2 linked regions of the Caenorhabditis elegans genome follow. The protein of the gene in region 1 purifies or fractionates together with the protein of each later gene. This does not show direct contact. Each region holds a gene or a part of one and is shown on either strand. Other genes may lie near its edges. The genes, in order: zhp-1 and R03H10.2.

Evidence for each region.
Region 2: the proteins of zhp-1 (region 1) and R03H10.2 fractionate together in Caenorhabditis elegans (co-fractionation; one large-scale study listed by BioGRID). This does not show direct contact.

The regions. Positions count from the first base shown.
Region 1 is NC_003279.8:5,364,196-5,371,863, reverse strand, and holds zhp-1 (Zip homologous protein 1), read left to right. Parts: upstream 1-4,034; 5' UTR 4,035-4,047; coding exon 4,048-4,344; intron 4,345-4,391; coding exon 4,392-4,537; intron 4,538-4,587; coding exon 4,588-4,723; intron 4,724-4,770; coding exon 4,771-4,854; 3' UTR 4,855-4,916; downstream 4,917-7,668. Other genes in the region: F55A12.2 (uncharacterized protein), read right to left, coding at 5,077-5,336, 5,389-5,614, 5,662-5,795, 5,849-6,036, 6,484-6,599. UniProt on the Caenorhabditis elegans protein: Recruited co-dependently with zhp-2 to the synaptonemal complex between homologous chromosome pairs to regulate the formation and number of crossover events between homologs during meiotic recombination.
Region 2 is NC_003280.10:4,152,512-4,161,820, forward strand, and holds the start of R03H10.2 (uncharacterized protein), read left to right. Parts: upstream 1-3,261; 5' UTR 3,262-3,263; coding exon 3,264-3,428; intron 3,429-7,664; coding exon 7,665-7,835; intron 7,836-9,309.

The sequences.
Region 1 (7,668 bases):
ATTTCATAAGCCAGAATAGAAGCATGAGAACCCTCCGATGCTCCACTCCTGTAGATAATAATACGTTTTGGCAATGTTTTGCGGCTCGACTCAAACAAATCAATTGAATTTTGCAATACGTCTTCAATTGAAGCCATTGTCTGTAAAAATTATATTATAAAACTCTCGAAAATCTAAATCAATTACATCCTGTGTTGAAGGAGCCAAGACGAAATCGCCTACAAACTCATGGTTTGCAACAGCATTTGAAGCGAAACCAATGATTTGCGGATTAAGATGTCCTTTATTGTCCATCATGAACTTCGTTCCAGCCGGTGGGGCAGAAACACCAACTCCGATGATCAATTGTTCGTCGGTCATGCTTTTTTTGGAATCCGAAACGGTGTAGTTGAGGCCACCTAACTTCAGGTTGGTTTTGTTGATGATGTTCTCCAAAGTCAATCTCTTTCCATCCTTGACAACAGCATTGGCTTTGGAGATTTTCATATCCTGGATAGTCATCCTCGATTTCTGTTCCAATGCTTTGTACCGCTCTGAAATTTTTCAATGGAAAGTGAACACTTAAGGAACGAAAACAACTTACTGTGGAGATGAGTGATTGCGTCATCAGTGATCACCAAGACATATTTGCAACCGCTCGCAGCTACTTTCTCCAGCTGATCCATGATTTTATCCGTATGGAAAAGGCCCGTTTCACATGGTGGCTTGATCGTCATACCTTTCTTCTTTCAAGAATCAACGAACATTCCGGCAAGTTGACTAAATAATTTAATCGATTCAAATAAATTTCTATCAATCTTACTTCACGTCACCACTGGAGAATCTGCATCCTTGATTACCAACAGCGTAAAGAGCCCATAACTCTGGAACCTTCGCGGGTTTTACAAACCATCCTGGAGGTGCACGCCACTTTCCCATTTCCGACATTACCGATCTCTGGTATACGAGCTCTTTTCCGTCGAGCTCACGCGCTTCAACCTGGAGAAAGAAAATCAATGTTTTTTAACGATTTGCACAAACTGACCATCAGAGGCTCCGAGTAAACTTTGATTCCGAGAGCGACGAGCAACTCATTCTCGAGTGAAATGTTGACAGCATTTTTACCGGTAATGATTATTCTCTGACGAACATCAGGAAGAACCGCGCACTCCTTCGTTGTCTTTTGAGATTGATTGCCAGTTTGCTGAGGAATGGTCACACGTTGATTTCTTGAAATGGTCATCAGTTCAGCCGGGAAGTAATTGTTGTTGCCTCGATCCTTACAAACCACCAAATTGGCGTTCGGATATTGTAGAGTGATCTTGTATTTGTCCGCATAATACTCGGCGATTGAGCACGTTTTTCCATCGGGCAACTCGAACCTGGTCTTTGAGGCACTTTCGTGAAAGATCCCTTCGATTCTTAGATGGCGCTTTCTGTTTGTATACGTCGAATAGCAATCAAGTCCTTTCATCACTGCCGCGGCTTTCTCACGGGCCATATTATTGATTCCATTTGAAGGATCTTGTCCCGTGATTTCGTACAGTTTTTGGATCACAGTTTGTTCTTTGTGGAACGCAGCTTTCATTCCATCAATCACGACAGATGGATTGTTCTGTCCACGACCATAAGGACCTTCGATGAATTGAATTGCCTTTTTGAGACCGGGATAAAGCTGTTTTCCATCGCCGACGTCGACACAGTCTCGCTGATCAAATCCTTCCTCGGTGGCGTTGAGGAAATATACCTTTCCGTGCTCGAAGCATCCGAAACGTTTTCTAGAATGAAGAAATGTTTTTCAAGACTTTCCTAAATTCACTTACGTTTCTCTCACGCAATGTTGATTCAAAGCAAGTTCCAAGAATTGAGTGTATTCCCGATTGTTCACTTCAATGTTTTGATCAGCAGTACGCTTGCTCAGATTTTCAGCAGAGAGCGTGATCGAGTTGTTTCGTGGGGCATAAATCTCGAGAGAGATGCAAGGCAACGTCTTAAGGTCGTCATTGTTGATATCAGCTCCGTTGATTTGGAAGACTTTGGACTTCGTACCGTTGGCATCCAGTTCTGAGAACAAGTTGACAGTTGTGTAGAGAGTTGATTGGCCGTCATAAACAATCTGATTTCCGTCCTTCATTTTGAAGAATTCAGGATTTTTCTCCACGGCATGGAAAAATAAGTTGCAGCATTTATCGCGACGGTCAAGAACGACGAAATCTTCTTTCCCTTTTTTGGTGAACGTCACTTCCTTACTAGGGAATGGTGTTACCCCTGCAATCGCTAGGAGGACAAAACAAAGTGAAAATGGAAGATCAGATCTATGGCTACAAGAATCAGTTTTTGAAATCTGCTTAACTCGGTCCCAAAGCTGAAATTTTCGGTCTTAAAAAGTAGTCCTTTTTTGCTCAAAATGCCGTTTTTCGTGTGTAGAAGTGGCTACATAAAAGTTTGGCACTGCAGCCGCCGTTCGAATGGCCGATTGGTGAACTCTTATGCTCATTAATCTAAAGGTCACGGGTTCGTTCCCCACTAGGTATTAATTTTTTTTTGAATTTTTCCTCTAGCATGAAATATGCACAAAAACACGGTTTCTTCCGTTTTTTGGTAACTTCGGAATAAATTTTTTGGTTCCTGGGAACCATAAAAGTAATTTGGAAACTTTTTGGAAGTTTTCTTTTTTTGATAAATTTTCACTTTGAAGAAACCGTGTTTTTGTGCATATTTCATGCTAGAGGAAAAATTCAAAAAAAAATTAATACCTAGTGGGGAACGAACCCGTGACCTTTAGATTAATGAGCACAAGAGTTCACCAATCGGCCATTCGAACGGCGGCTGCAGTGCCAAACTTTTATGTAGCCACTTCTACACACGAAAAACGGCATTTTGAGCAAAAAAAGGACTACTTTTTAAGACCGAAAATTTCAGCTTTGGGACCGAGTTAAGCAGATTCCAAAAACTGATTCTTGTAGCCATAGATCTGATCTTCCATTTTCACTTTGTTTTGTCCTCCTAGCGATTGCAGGGGTAACACCATTCCCTAGTTAGTTGGAGTCAAATTGGCCTTTGCGTGAACCATAAAACGGTGGACAGTGGTTTCCTTTGTCACTTTAACTCCGAAGATATTAGTTTGAATATCCACTTTTCTACCCAATTGTCCAGGTTCGGCTGGCTTCATGTACATTTTCGCGCCATTCTCAACCTGCAAATAGGACATTAGAAATATTTTTAAATGCACAGAGATATACTTTTAACTGTTGCAAACGTTTGATGCATGCGTCGTTGCCAGTGATTTGATGAAGCTTTTGAGCATCGGCGGGAACTGGAGGCATTGGAGGCATAGTTCCTGGTGGAGCAGTGACTGGTGGCATTGGAGGCATCGGTGGATGCGGTTGTGGTGGATGAGGAGACATCTTATTACTATTGCAATATTAGATCTGAAAAAAAAATATGAAGAGGGGCCAAGATTATCCACATGTCATTTACTACAGAGGATAACACGCTGTGAAAAACAAACGAAAAAGATAACAGATGCGAAGCGTCCAGAGAAAATCTAGGAGAAAATGAAAGTTGTACGGAAAAAATACAGTTTCGAGGTGTCTCGGCATTAAACATTGTAGGGTGGATTTGGATGAATGATGAAGAAAGAATAATTTATTTTTTGGCGGCTAGATCAAATGGAGATCATTTTTCTATCTCTAAAACAAGTCTAACATTTATCAAAATCCTACTTTTTAGTTAATATTACAGATTTTCTAACTATATTCATTAAATTTGAGATAAGACTAATATGAAAATTGCTGAAAATTATCGAAAAACTGTCACAAACAGACGAAGAAACCGGAAAAGTGAATGCCAGCAATGCCAACGCAATACCGTACTTGAAAATGGCGATCGGTGCGGGACCCACGCGTTGTTTGTTCGAAAGCTCCTTTAAATTTGTGTTTTTTTAAAAAGCAATTCGTGCTTTTCTCCCGGGAGAGCTCCCTGTATTCTATGATGTTTTAGAAGTTTAATCGTTCCAAACATGGTTCAAAAATAACAATTTGCATTTATTTCAGAACTGTAGGCACTATGGAGTTCATCGTTTGCAATGGATGTGGATGCTCGCCAAGTAAAAGACAATTTTTTATCACCGCCTGCTCCCACGTCTTCTGTGAAACATGCCGAACAACTCCCACTGCTGACTTTTGTCATTTGTGTAAAATCCCGACAAAAACTCTCAAAATGGATGCAAGTCTGCCGAAGAATGTGAAGAAAATGTTCGGCGATGTGGGTGTGATGAGTACGGATATTCACAAACGCCTCGCTCGAGTTATTGGCTTTCAAAAAATTCAGAAGTCAATTCAATTGAAAATGGAAAACAAAAAAGTAACACTCTTTTTTTAAGTTTCCAGAATTAAAACGCTTTATTTCAGTCAGTTATGCGAAAAGAACAAACCAAGAAAGTTGAGAAAAAGACGGAGGAAATGCACTGTCAATTGTCGAAGCTAACAAGTTTTGAGGAAAATAATCGTAAGAAGCTTGAAGATATTGAACGCGAGAACGAGAAGCTTCGGAATTTGTATGTATTCCCTGATCGAAATTTAATCTAAATATTGATTTCTATTTTAGAATCAGTGCTCTCGAACTGAAAGTTGCCAGTTCTCGTGATATCGATGATGACGAGTTTTTCATGCAAGGTACTCCAACTTCTTCAAATCCTTCCGTTGCTGGTTCAGATGTAGATAATGACGAATTGCTCGATTATGTATGCTGATATCATTGATTTTTCTGTTCCTAAAGTTGCTTTTTCAGGATCTTCTAGGATTGAGGAATCGATCTGATTCATCATCATCCAACTGCTCGTCTCAATCGAATCGTGGAGGATCTCTGTTTTAACATAATCTGTAATATAGATGACCATAGTTTTATTTTTCAGCTATAAACATAAAAATGCTTGATTTATCTTCTTCCCACATATCCAGAGCAAAACGTGACACCATCAATTGGATGAAAGGGGATCGAAAAAATTACAAAATCAATTAAAATTTTATTTTCAAACAAACAACAAAAATAAAAACGATATGATTTGAAAAAAAACTAAATCTAGGACTAGATAAATCAAGCGACACGTTCATTTTCCGGTGCTTCTGGAATCGCCCCGTTGACGAGCGGAATCTTTCGTAGAAAATCGAGAATCTTCTGCTTAAGTGAGGATGATGTTTGCGCTTCAGCAACAAGACGACGTGCCAAATCGGAGTCCAGTTCAAGAGTGTTGAACATTCGTTCACGACCCCAGAGCATCGCGTACATTGAACCAAAACTGACGATCATTTGAATGGCAGCACACATGGCAATTACAGGACGAGCGGGTTTGGAGCCTGAAAAATTAAGAGTAGAATAAATTGCATTTATATTTTACATTCGATATACCTTCCCATCCTAGAGTCAAGAACTCTAATAAATTATTGACAACTGGCATTGCTCTAGAACTTCCTCCTGTATTCGCTTCCCTATTGATCAGAACATAATGTGCCAAATATGGAGTTGCAAGCATCGGAAGAGCAATTCCTGTTAATAATCCAATAGCAATACTATTAATGACAAGACACGATGGACATGGTGTAAGCTCATTGTAGACTTTAGGTGTTACAAGAACCTGAAATTATTGCGTTACTGTATGTTTGAAATACGGAAAAAAGAAACCTGATGAAGCATGAAATATGTAACACCAGAGGAATAAACTCCAAATACAAATGGAGATTTCGGACACTTTCGGATTGATTCAAAGAATTTAGCTTTCGCATCATAAAGGAACATTTCAGAGTTGATCCGAGTGGCTGAAAATCAAAATTATCGTCAGAAATTTTGAAGTTTTTCTAAAAATACAAACCAATAAGTGAAGAAGTGACACAATTAGCTACTAAACCAGCGTGAACTGGCCATGTTAATGCTCTTCGCTCATCTCGAAATGGCCATGTTGATGAGAGGCGACTCATCAAATGAGCTTGATCAGCTGAAGACATTGAAGATAGATTCTGCCATAGTGTTGAACGATTTGATGGATCTGTTGAGGCATCTCTGAAGTAAATAGTTGAAAATTTTTTTTTTTTTCGACTTTTTGAAAAAATAATTTGGCTGAAATTGATTTATTTCACAAAAGAATTGATTTCTAAACTGTAATTTTTTTTTAAATGAGAACATCAGAAAACATACGGTATCCGGTCTCGACACGAGCAATTTTTCAAATGTATGCGCGCCTTCAAAGACTACTGTAGTTTCCAACTCCTCGTTTTTGCGCGTTTTACTTCAGTTTTTCAAATAAAAAATTTTCAAAAAAAATTTGGAATGGGAGAGAAACAATGAAAATCTAGGAGAGCTCTGCAAAAATTGACAGTTCGAGACTACAGTACCCCTTAAAGGTGTTTTTGCATGTTTAAAAAATATCCTTGAGGGTCTCAGAAACTGAAAATAAATTGATTTTTTGTTGGATTAAAAGATTTTTGTTTTTTTTTTGCATTTTTTCACCTCGCCGCTGCCACCAATCCTCTATTGACGGCATGTGATTCCAATTTTGCAAAATTTTCCGAATTCTGCCATAATGATAGAAATTGCGGACTATTCTGCTCATTTTCTTTGCTCATCTGAAATATTTTCAAGTTCTGATGCTGAAAATGTTTATTCAAATATTGAAAAAGCGACTTAAAACCAAAAGAAAGCAAAGAAAATCAAAGTTTTAAGTTGGAAAATCTTTTTATTTCGTCTGTAAAACATCGATGAGAAGAAAGCCGGGGTGGTTGGAGAGGGGATTTGAAAAATTGAAAAATAATAAATTACAAAAAAGTTCGAGGCAAAGATAAGAGGGAAGAGATAAAAAAATTAAATTAGATACATTAGTTTTTGTAGCATAAATAATTTTAAATTATAAAATTTTATTGCGGGTGGATACTAATCGGCGAGGGGGACAAATCAATCACAATTTCGTGGAGAGAAGGAGGGTCGGGTCTTGACTGGAAAATTCCGAATGTTGGAAAGTTGAAACTAAAGCCAAATTTGAATTTGGAAGCGGAAAAATAGTGAAAAAAAGAAACAAAAAATTTATATTATTTCACAACTCGATGAGAAAAGGGCACAATCGTTTTGAAAGGAACATTGGCAGATTTTGGTTGAAACTGAAGACTATGTCGGAAGAAGAAGAATGAACGGCAATGGTGGATGCAATAGAACTATAATCGAGTCTGAAAATTTTTGAGATATTTTAATGGTTAGAGAGTTATAGACAAGAAAGGCAGGCAAGAGACGCAGACAGATAAGCACAATGGTACTGTAGGACCTCACACGGAGACTAGATGGAAACTAGATGACTAGACATCTAAATATTTTTCTTGTTTGCAAAATTTTATTTTGAAGAATTTTCGTAAAACTATCTGAAATATTTGCAAGATTGCAACATCTAAAAAGAAGAAAAATTACCAAAATTTAAAGGTATTTTTTTGAAATATCTCAAAATTGAAAAAAAAATTACAAAAATCGAATTTTCTCATTTTAGAGATTTTTTACTTACTTTTCTCAATTTGGACTATTCTGAGCTTTTTAAGAGACACACTTTTCGATAATAACTAGACGTTGACACAACAAATATTACAAGCCGAACTTGCTCAGAGACAAACATAATGTTAGGATCCGTTGGGAAAGAATACCTAAATGGAAAGA
Region 2 (9,309 bases), on another chromosome or scaffold:
CTTTTCTTTTTGATCTTCGAAATAATTCTAAAATTAGAATTTGAATATTTTTCTACCCAACAAATATACCTAGTTAAGGTTACCTTATATGTTGACCACGTTTGCCGATTTCAATTGTTTCTCTCAGGGTGTCATAAATCAAGCAGTCACCCTTTATGTCCTTGCCACTGTTATTTCCTACCCCCCACCAACTGGTACAAACCATTTCGAAAAGTTTTATTTAGCTGCCTATTTCAGATTAATACCCTAAAAATTAAAATTTTGTGCGCTTATCTATGCAGAGCAACGCTAAAAACAGGAAGAACCCAGATAATTTCGATCGCAATCTTTTTTGCGAATTTTCTCACATTTTTCTTCTAATTTTTGCTGTTCCTACCTAATTAACCGTATTAATTTCTAATTTTCAAACAATCTTCGATATTTATCTCACACATTTACTATTCACCGATGAGAATCTCAAGAATCATCACAACGTTCGTCCCGTCGGCGAGGCTATGGCTTGGTTGAAAAATGAAAGTCTCCAGTTGTCCTGTCAATTCGTTTCGAATTATCCACCTCCTCCGGAGGAGAAGAAGGAGAATGAAATTAAGTGATGGGGTAGGCTGCTGGTGACTAGGGAGATGCAGAAAGGGGGGGGGGGGGGTCACTTTTATTGTCTACCCCGTCCGGTCATCCGTCTTTATACCTGTCTCATGATGACTCATTTTTGAAATTCAAACGAGGTAGACTCGGCAGTTAGGCACTTTTTAAGCGAACACCTGAGATTGAAACTAAGCGTAAGCCGAAGCGTAAGCGTAATCGTAAGCGTAAGTCTAAGCGTAGGCCTAAGTTTAAGCCTAAGTCTAAGATTAAGCGTAAGCCTAAGCCTTAGCCTCATTCTAAGCCTCAGCCTAAAGCTAAGTCTAAGCCTAAGCCTATGCCTAAACCTAAGCCTAAGCCTAAGCCTAAGTCCAAACCTAAGCCTTAACCGCATGTATGTAGTTGTTCCAAAATTGTTTAACTTCATTGCAGCTAATTTTCCTGAACACCTTCCTCATTAGTTGACCTATTTTCAGCCAATTACAGTTTGAAAGTTCTTTTTAAATTTGAAATCCTCTAATTCCCTTTCCCCCCTAAATGACCTTTAATACCCATAGAGTCTCCTGTCCTTTGGTGGCCACTTTTCCAACCCGATTACCTCTAATTTCCCACTCTCTCCTTCTATGTCTCTTTTTCTGGTTACCAAGGGACCACAGACTACTAACACACCTTTCTACCGCTTTTATCCCGAACGGGAGGGGGCACTATGCATTAATTATACTTACGAAGGTCGCAGACTTTTATCTTCGTTTGTTTTCGATTTTGCATACTTTTGTGTGTTTATTGATTTTTTTTTTCGTGTGAAATTTGAAATCTTTTATTGTCGGCGGAGCGAATTTGCATTAATGTTTTTGTTAAATTAGGTAAGAAGAAGACATTTTATATTAAAAATTTATAAAAGCTATCGATTTTCTATAATATTGGTGTAACATTTTAGGGTGTTTTAGCGGAAAGCCAAAAATTTCTGAATTTTCTTTTTAATTGTTGACTTTTTCAAACATTATTTGTATTTTACATACCAATTTTGTTTAAGAATTTAAAAAAAAAATAATAATTCAAATATGACGAAAAAACATTATCCGGACGTTAAGTTTGCTATTTTTGAGAAAAAAACAATAAACGACAAATTTTCTCAAATTCGGAAAACTATGCGTCTTTACAGAGTACTATAATTTTACCCTAAATAAATTCTGCAGTGTTTTTTTCTATTTAATTTACATAGATTTCTCACATTTTTTTCAAAAAAATAAATAAGTGCACAAAACTGAAAATTGATGAAAATTCCAAAAAGATAAATTACAGTACTCTTTAAAGACGCACACTTTTTGGCATTTAACTAACATTAGTCGTATCGAGGCCGGGTATCACATTTTTGGCGGAAAATTGCAAAATTAATTAAAATTTTGCAATTTTGCGTCTGAGTAATATATTTACAAGATGGTGGAGTTGTTTAATACTTGAGTTTTTCTAAATTCAAAAATTTCAGAGATTTTTGTGAAACTTTTTTTCTATTTTTTGGGTTAAGGCAATTTTCTATTTTCTATGTTTCAGTTTTCCGGTGTACCCCTCCACCTTATTCCTAGTGACCTTACTTGTCTCGGGTCCTTCATTACCTTCCCTTTTCGTCTTCTAAACGCATCTCACAAAAGTTAAGTGTTGACTCATTTCTCTCCCTCAAAAACCTTACATGTTCCTTTTTCGGAATGCCTCACACAACAAACCAGCGATGCATTTCCGAACACACATATGTCCACCCATAAAAGTGCGATAAGTAGATTTTGACTGTATATTCCCTGCAGGTGGTCTCTTTCTCTCTCTCTCTTCTTTCTGTCGGTTAGTACCAGAAGCCTGTCTCCCGTTTTGTCATATTCTTCTCTTTTCCTGATGCTTCTTCTCCACTACTACCACCTGTCTTCTTCTTCCCTTCCATTCCGTTCGTTTTCCTATTATCGTATTAGTATATACTAATATGCGTTTGACGTTGGAAACCTGAAGTAGATTCTCTCCGGAAGATAGATTACCACATTTTCACTAGTCGGTTGTTGGATTTATGAAGCTGTTAACACATACTTTTTATTAGCTGGACAGTTCAGGAATGGATTTGGCTTGGGCTTAGGCTTAGGTTTAAGCTTAGGCTTGGGTTTAGGCTTGGGTTTAGGCTTAGGCTTCGGCTTGAACTTAGGCTTAGGCTTAGACTTAGGCTTATGGTGAAGCTTAGGCTTAGGCTTAGGCTTAGGCTTACGCTTACGCTTAGGCTTACGCTTAGGCTTACGCTTAGGCTTACGCTTAGGCTTAGGCTTATCCTTAGGCTTAGGATTAGGCTTAAGCTTAGGCTTCGGCTTCGGCTTCGGCTTAGAGTTAGGCTTAGGCTAGGCTTAGACTTAGGCTTGTTCTCTAAATTTTTAATGTTTTTTTTGTTGCAAAGACTATAGTTTTTTAACAACTTCATGACGCATTTTATTTAAGCTTGTAAACTTCTAGGCTTATAGATTTTAATGTAAAATTTCGGGAATTGGAAATTTCGATATTGAATAAAAAAATTTCCAAACAACGTTTGCAACATTTTTCTTTAGAAAAAAAATTGTTTTTTTCTTTTTTATTTTCACATTGTCTTTTGTTCCTTAAGTTTTTATTCCAACTTTGCTAAAAGTATTTACAGTTAATTTTCAAAATTATCTGCAGAAATGGATTTCGATTTCGATTCGGAGCCAAAAACGCCTCCTCAACTACCCCCTGCTCCACCGATTCGGACAGTGTCGAATAACCCAAAAGTCACGTTTAAAGGCGCACAGACTTGGAGAGAATCTGTCGGAATGTTTTTGGTTATGGCACTGGCATTGGCAGTGGCGGTTAGTTTTTCAAATTTTCCCCAAAAAATTTAAGTTCAAAATCCGACCGCGGTCACACTTGGCCGGAATCCATCTGCTATCTTTAGTGAACCGGATATGAGAAAAAGTTTGTTTCGAAAAAGGAAAAAAAAGAAGATTATATGCACATGAATACTGCTTCACATTTTTGCAAAAAGAAATATGTTGTGTGCTTATTTTCAAACTTTTTTGGGATTGGAACTTTCCGGTACACTGAGCTTTAAACCGAATTATTAATAGGATTAAAATAAGCTGGGAAGGGGGTTCCGGGAAGATTATAAATTTTTTTTTTGGTTTAACTGGAAAAAGATTATTACTAATGAGATACTAGGTATACAAATAAATAAATAACAAAAATGCACGAAACCTTGTGAAAACTGCAAAACGAAATTTCGAAAAGACAAAATTGAAGAGTGAATTTTTGAAGCATGAGTCTACAGATATTAAGCCAAAGAGCTGAGCCTGAAAGACTCAACTTGAAGGCCTACATTTGAAGGCCTACGCCTGATAGCCTGGATGGGATGTGTCGAAAAGCCCTTGGGATTAAGTCGAAAGACTTAATCCCAAGGGCCTTGGCCTAGGGTCCTAAGCAAAAAAGCCCAAGCCTTAGCCTGAAGGTATAAGCCCAAACGTTTCGGATTCCCAAAATACTTCCTGACTCATAACTCAATTTTAGAACCAAATCTGACTGAATCACAAAATGTTTCGGGAACTCAAAAGAATCTATGACCTGATTACTCGGTTATTCTTAATAAACACCCTCTGCAGCTGTAAATACATTATGAATAGGTGCTAGTTAGATAGATCAAAAGTTTTTGTTAGATCAAAAAGTGAAGAGGAAGTCAGAAAAGTTGGGTTCGAATAGTGATATGGTCTATTAGAGAAATAATTGAATCTTTGAATCTGTGAGTCTGTGTCGGAAAAATATGTTAACTACAAACTAGGATTTTCTCCTTTTCGTAGTGAAAAATATAGTTTAGAAAAAGCTAGCTTAGTGGTAGTCCTAAACCTGAGACTCGGTTTAGGCCTACTCCTGAGCCTAGAACTAGGCATAAGCAGGTGTCTAAGCCTAAATACATATCTGAAGACCATACTTAGGTTAGAAGCTTAAGTGCCAGCTCTTGCAACCTTGAAATGCTTAACATCTACTAACCGAAGTTGTGAATCCTGATGGCCTAGCTCAAAGCCTAAACCTAGAGCTAGCCTTAAGCCTAGCCCTTAGTCCTAGGTTAATGCCTAGTCTTGGGCCTAAATCTAGTCCTAGGCCCAAACATGGCTATAGACCTAAACCTGACCATAAGCCTATGGCCAACGCATAAGTCTAGCCCTAGTCTAGCCAGTCCTGTTCCTAAAATTTCTGAAATCTGAAAAAATCTGAAACTTTTCGGTACTCTCGCTTCTTTGTTATGAATTTTTCATCTTGTTGTTCACTTTTAAGCATCTGAAATTATCTGAAAACCCTGAAAATCCCTAGAAAAAACAAGACACTTTTGATATATAAAAATGTAATTTATTACTTTTTTTGGAAGCTTTAATGTCAATTTTGGTTCAATATATACAAAGAAAGTAAGGGTTTCTAGAGTCTACAACAATTCAAAAAACAATGAAGAAAAAACAACAAAATAACATTTAAAAAACAAAACCGGAAAAAAATAGTAGTTCGAATGTGGAGAGACCCGTGAAGGCGGCTTGTGTAGATTTTTGTACAGATATTTAGAACAGTTAGGGCTCATAGAGGAGCTTTCCAAGAAGCTTAATAAAATGCAGATACACATCTGCGGAACCCACGTCGCTTCTCCTCGATAGTCCTCTGGATTGCAGCCTTGACTGCTGGGGAGCGGTGAGCATCGACGTTGGTGAGAATGTCTTGATTGATGTGGAACATTTTGTAGAGAATTTAGAAATTAGAGCAATTGAAGAATTTGAAAAACTCAAGAGATTAGAGTATTATCAGTGTGTTCTCTTGCTCTTGCTTATATAGGCACCCGTGTGCTCTGGTGATAATTGGCTCCGCCCCGCGTTATCCATCCAACCGAGCATGGTCATGAGGCGAGAGACGGGTGAACAAGAAGAAGTCAGAAGAAGATGAATAGAGAGGAGTCATAGGAGCTAATTAATCAGCAAGATTTTTTGGAGGGGAAAAGGGTACCACGAGGTTTCTCGAGCAAAGCTTGCTTGAGAAGGGGTACTGTAAGGGAGCAGAACTTTTGATGTTTCTAGAAATGGGAAAACGTTTTTTTGAAAAAAATCAAAGCTCAGCTTTGGATGAGGTGTATGCCAAAAGTCTTGAACCAAGCTTAAGCCTAATAGTAACCGTGAAGAAAGAAGCCTGAGACTAAATCTAAAGGCCCTAGTTTAAAGGCCTAAGTTTGAGCTTCAGCGTAAGCCTAAGACTAAGCCTAAGCCTCAACTCAAGCCTAAACATATGCCCAAGCCTAAGACTGAGCCTAAATCCCAAGCCTATGCATAATTCTAAGCCTAAGCCTAAACGTCAAGGGTTTGCCCAACGTTCTAAGCCCAAGAACTCGGCCTCATTTTCTTCCGAATTTGTAGTTTTTGATACCTTTTTTTCTGAATTCTCGTCAAACCTTCCAAAATTTCAAAGCCTACAATTTCCAAATTACTCTGTTTTGACCAACATAATTGCCGGCTGAAAGATCAAATTGAAACTTTTTATTCCAGAAAAAATCGGGTTTCCTGCAAAAGCCCGAGCCAATTTGTGCGCAGTTTTGCCCTATAATTTTCTCTAATTTCATGAGAATCTCGTTTACTTGAACTTTGAAAATTAATGGCTGGTGTTTGAAATTTTCATACCCCAGAAGATTCTCTTGACTGGACAGGAGGAAGAAAAGAAATATTCCAAAACATTTTAAGATTCACTTGACTTATTTTCAGTCTGAAAAACTTGAAATCCTGTTCCGCTTGGCTCGATTTTTTATCCATCTGATTTTTCGGTTTTAAAAAAGAGTCACGTAGTGGCTTACAGACCTTTTTGAACAAATTTTGAAAATTTTCAGCCAAATTTTTAAGGGATAATGCACAAAGTTTCTGATATCCGGAACGTTCGGAACAGGCATAATTAATCGCTTCTAGACGACTTGTTGTTGAGCGGAAATTTGATAATGTCTGGGGGTAATCACGGGAAAATTGTAAAAATTGTAATGGATCAAAGAACATAAAACATAATGGTCTCAGTTAGAGAAAAATATTCTGTGAAAAATTTTAAAAGGCATGTAGGAAAGCAGGCAGGCAAAAAACCCAAAGTTGCCGAATTCCAAAAACTCATTCATCAACTTTTTTTTTGTTTTTTGATTACCAACATATTAACCCAATTACTCACATAAATCCTATCAATTTCACACATCATTTTCCATTCAAAAAATTCAAAATTCTTTCTCCAGACAAAGCGAAAATCCTCAGCATTTTCACCGGGGGCCCCCTATTATCGGATTAGGCAATTTTAATCCAATAAAAGTTTCGGAACTCCCTCAATAAAATAATGGAAACCCAACAAAAAATGATGAATTTTAAGATTTTAGAAATGATGGGCAAAAGCTCTATGACTAAGAACATTTGGCAAGAAAACTAGAGTTTTATGTTTCTAGTTTGATTTTTTTTTTTTGAAGATTTAAGTGCAAATAATGTGTCATGACAGGGGGTGAGCTGGCTGGAAAACATATTAACGAATGATTGTTTGAACTCACTGAGGAAATAAAGCAGATAAAGAAGCGGGTTTAAAAAACAGTTTTTAGTTAAGCAGACGACATTAAGCGGTTCCGTCTGTCCAACAGCCCGGAAGATGTCGGGCGCTGAAAAGGAACAGGAAATTACAAGCGTCCGACGCATACCGGGTCCCACCCTGCAAATGTCAGACGCTGTTACGCTTATTGGATTTTCGTAATTTTGTCAAGTTTAGAGACTACTTTTTGGTTGATAAACGTTCTAAAAATTTTGAAAATTTGTTTTACAGCGCCCGACGTCTCACGGGTTCTATAGGGAACCCGAAAATTGTCGGGTGCTTCACACGTTTCTTCAGCTTATCCTTTTTGAAATAGCTGAGGTTAACCGGGTCATTTTTATCACCAGACATCTTGTAGGACAAATGTTTTTTAATTCGAATTTTGAGCCTCCGTAGTTTTTCAACTTTAGAGCTATTCTTTGCAGTTCTCAAATTCCCAGTTTCGTAGTGGGACCCAACCTAAAAATTGAAATTTGCAGATCTCAAGCCTGGTGCTCCTTTGTTACGTGTGGAAGGACAAGCAAGTGTACGATCATATTGTGGATTTCCTCGACAAAACGATACAAATCTCGAAAATCGCTGAACGTCCGTTCCTAGGAGTATATCAGTTGTCTGAAAAAGAGCTTGAAGTGCTTGGAAACGAGAGAACTGTAAGTTTTAGTATTGGTTCATAGACCCTTTTTGAAACACTCTAGTTAAAAAATTGCCGAAGATCTCTCTGAAATTGTAGGTAGACCGCACTGGCCAAAATGATGTGAATTTGTATTTCAAAAAAACCAAAAAGTTATTTGTAGCTGGCGTTTTTTTTTTCAATTGAATTTGCATAATCAACTTATAACATTTCTTGTACTACATATTTTTAAATAGGATTTTTTTGAATTTTCAAAAATGTGAGGGGATTTCCCCTCAACTATCTGCAAGTTCCAACATGAACTCATTGTTTCTGACCCCCATCTCTTATGTGATTTTTTACATTCAAAATAAAAAATGAACAACAAAATCGAAGTTCAAAAGATCCTTGATCCAACACCAGAAAGTTTTTTGTATTGCTCTTTACCCCGCAACAACAAAATGATGAACTCAAATGTATATGGGATTAACTAGAAATAGACAAAAAAAGTAGAAAAGTAATCGGTTTTTGGTGGCTTTCTCCGAGAACCCACGCAGAGTAGGCGCCATAGATTAAAAGTTCTGGAAGCAATTTTCGGTTTTATTTGGAACTGGAAAAAATTAACTAAACGAGACCTACTAAATATTGGTCTTTTTTGGCAACTCCCAGAAAAGAATTCAGAGACAGAGGAGCTTTTAAGAAAATTTCATGTTTCGAAAAACAAATGATATTTCTTTTCGAAGTTTTTTTCTGAACATTTCCAAAAGAGTCCTTCTTCTCAGTTGGCTTTTGAGATTTATAGCTGGGATGCCCGGCAAATTTGCCGAATTGCCGAATTTGCCGTTTGTCGAGCACGACAAATTTCAAAAAGTAGATTTGCCGAACTTGTCAAGCTCGGCAAATTTTGAAATTTGCCGCACACCCCTGATTTGTAGCATAAAAACACCAAAAATGAGCTACAAAAGTTTTCAAAAAACGTTGAAATATTAGTTTAGGCATAGCTAAACATTTGCCAAAGTTCCAAAAAAGCAATATCGGAAAAAGTTAATTTTTTTAGATTTTTTTTCAAAAAAAAACCTCTTATTTCAAATTCGATTTGAAAAACACATTTCAACGCAATTTTTCAACCACTTATTTTAATTTTTTAACGAGTTTAAATTTATTTTCAATGACAACACTCTGCCAACTTTCAGGCAACTCATTGGCAACTTATGTCAGAAATTTCTAAAAAAGGGCTGACTGTCGCCAGAAAGTTGTCACAAAATGTCGCGCCTGCCATAAACTTTCAAACGTTCCCAGAAACTTAATACCCCTATTATCAAAAATCATGACAACTTCCGGAACGTGTGAACTTCTCATGACGGCAAACTAAATGTGATTTTGCGTCATAAAAGGGCAAATAAATAAAACATTATATATCATTGGGGGATTAAGGTTGTGAATAAAAAAATAAACAGATTATCATTATAGGTCATTTGTCTAGCTGTTCACTGAATATTGTGATCATCATACTT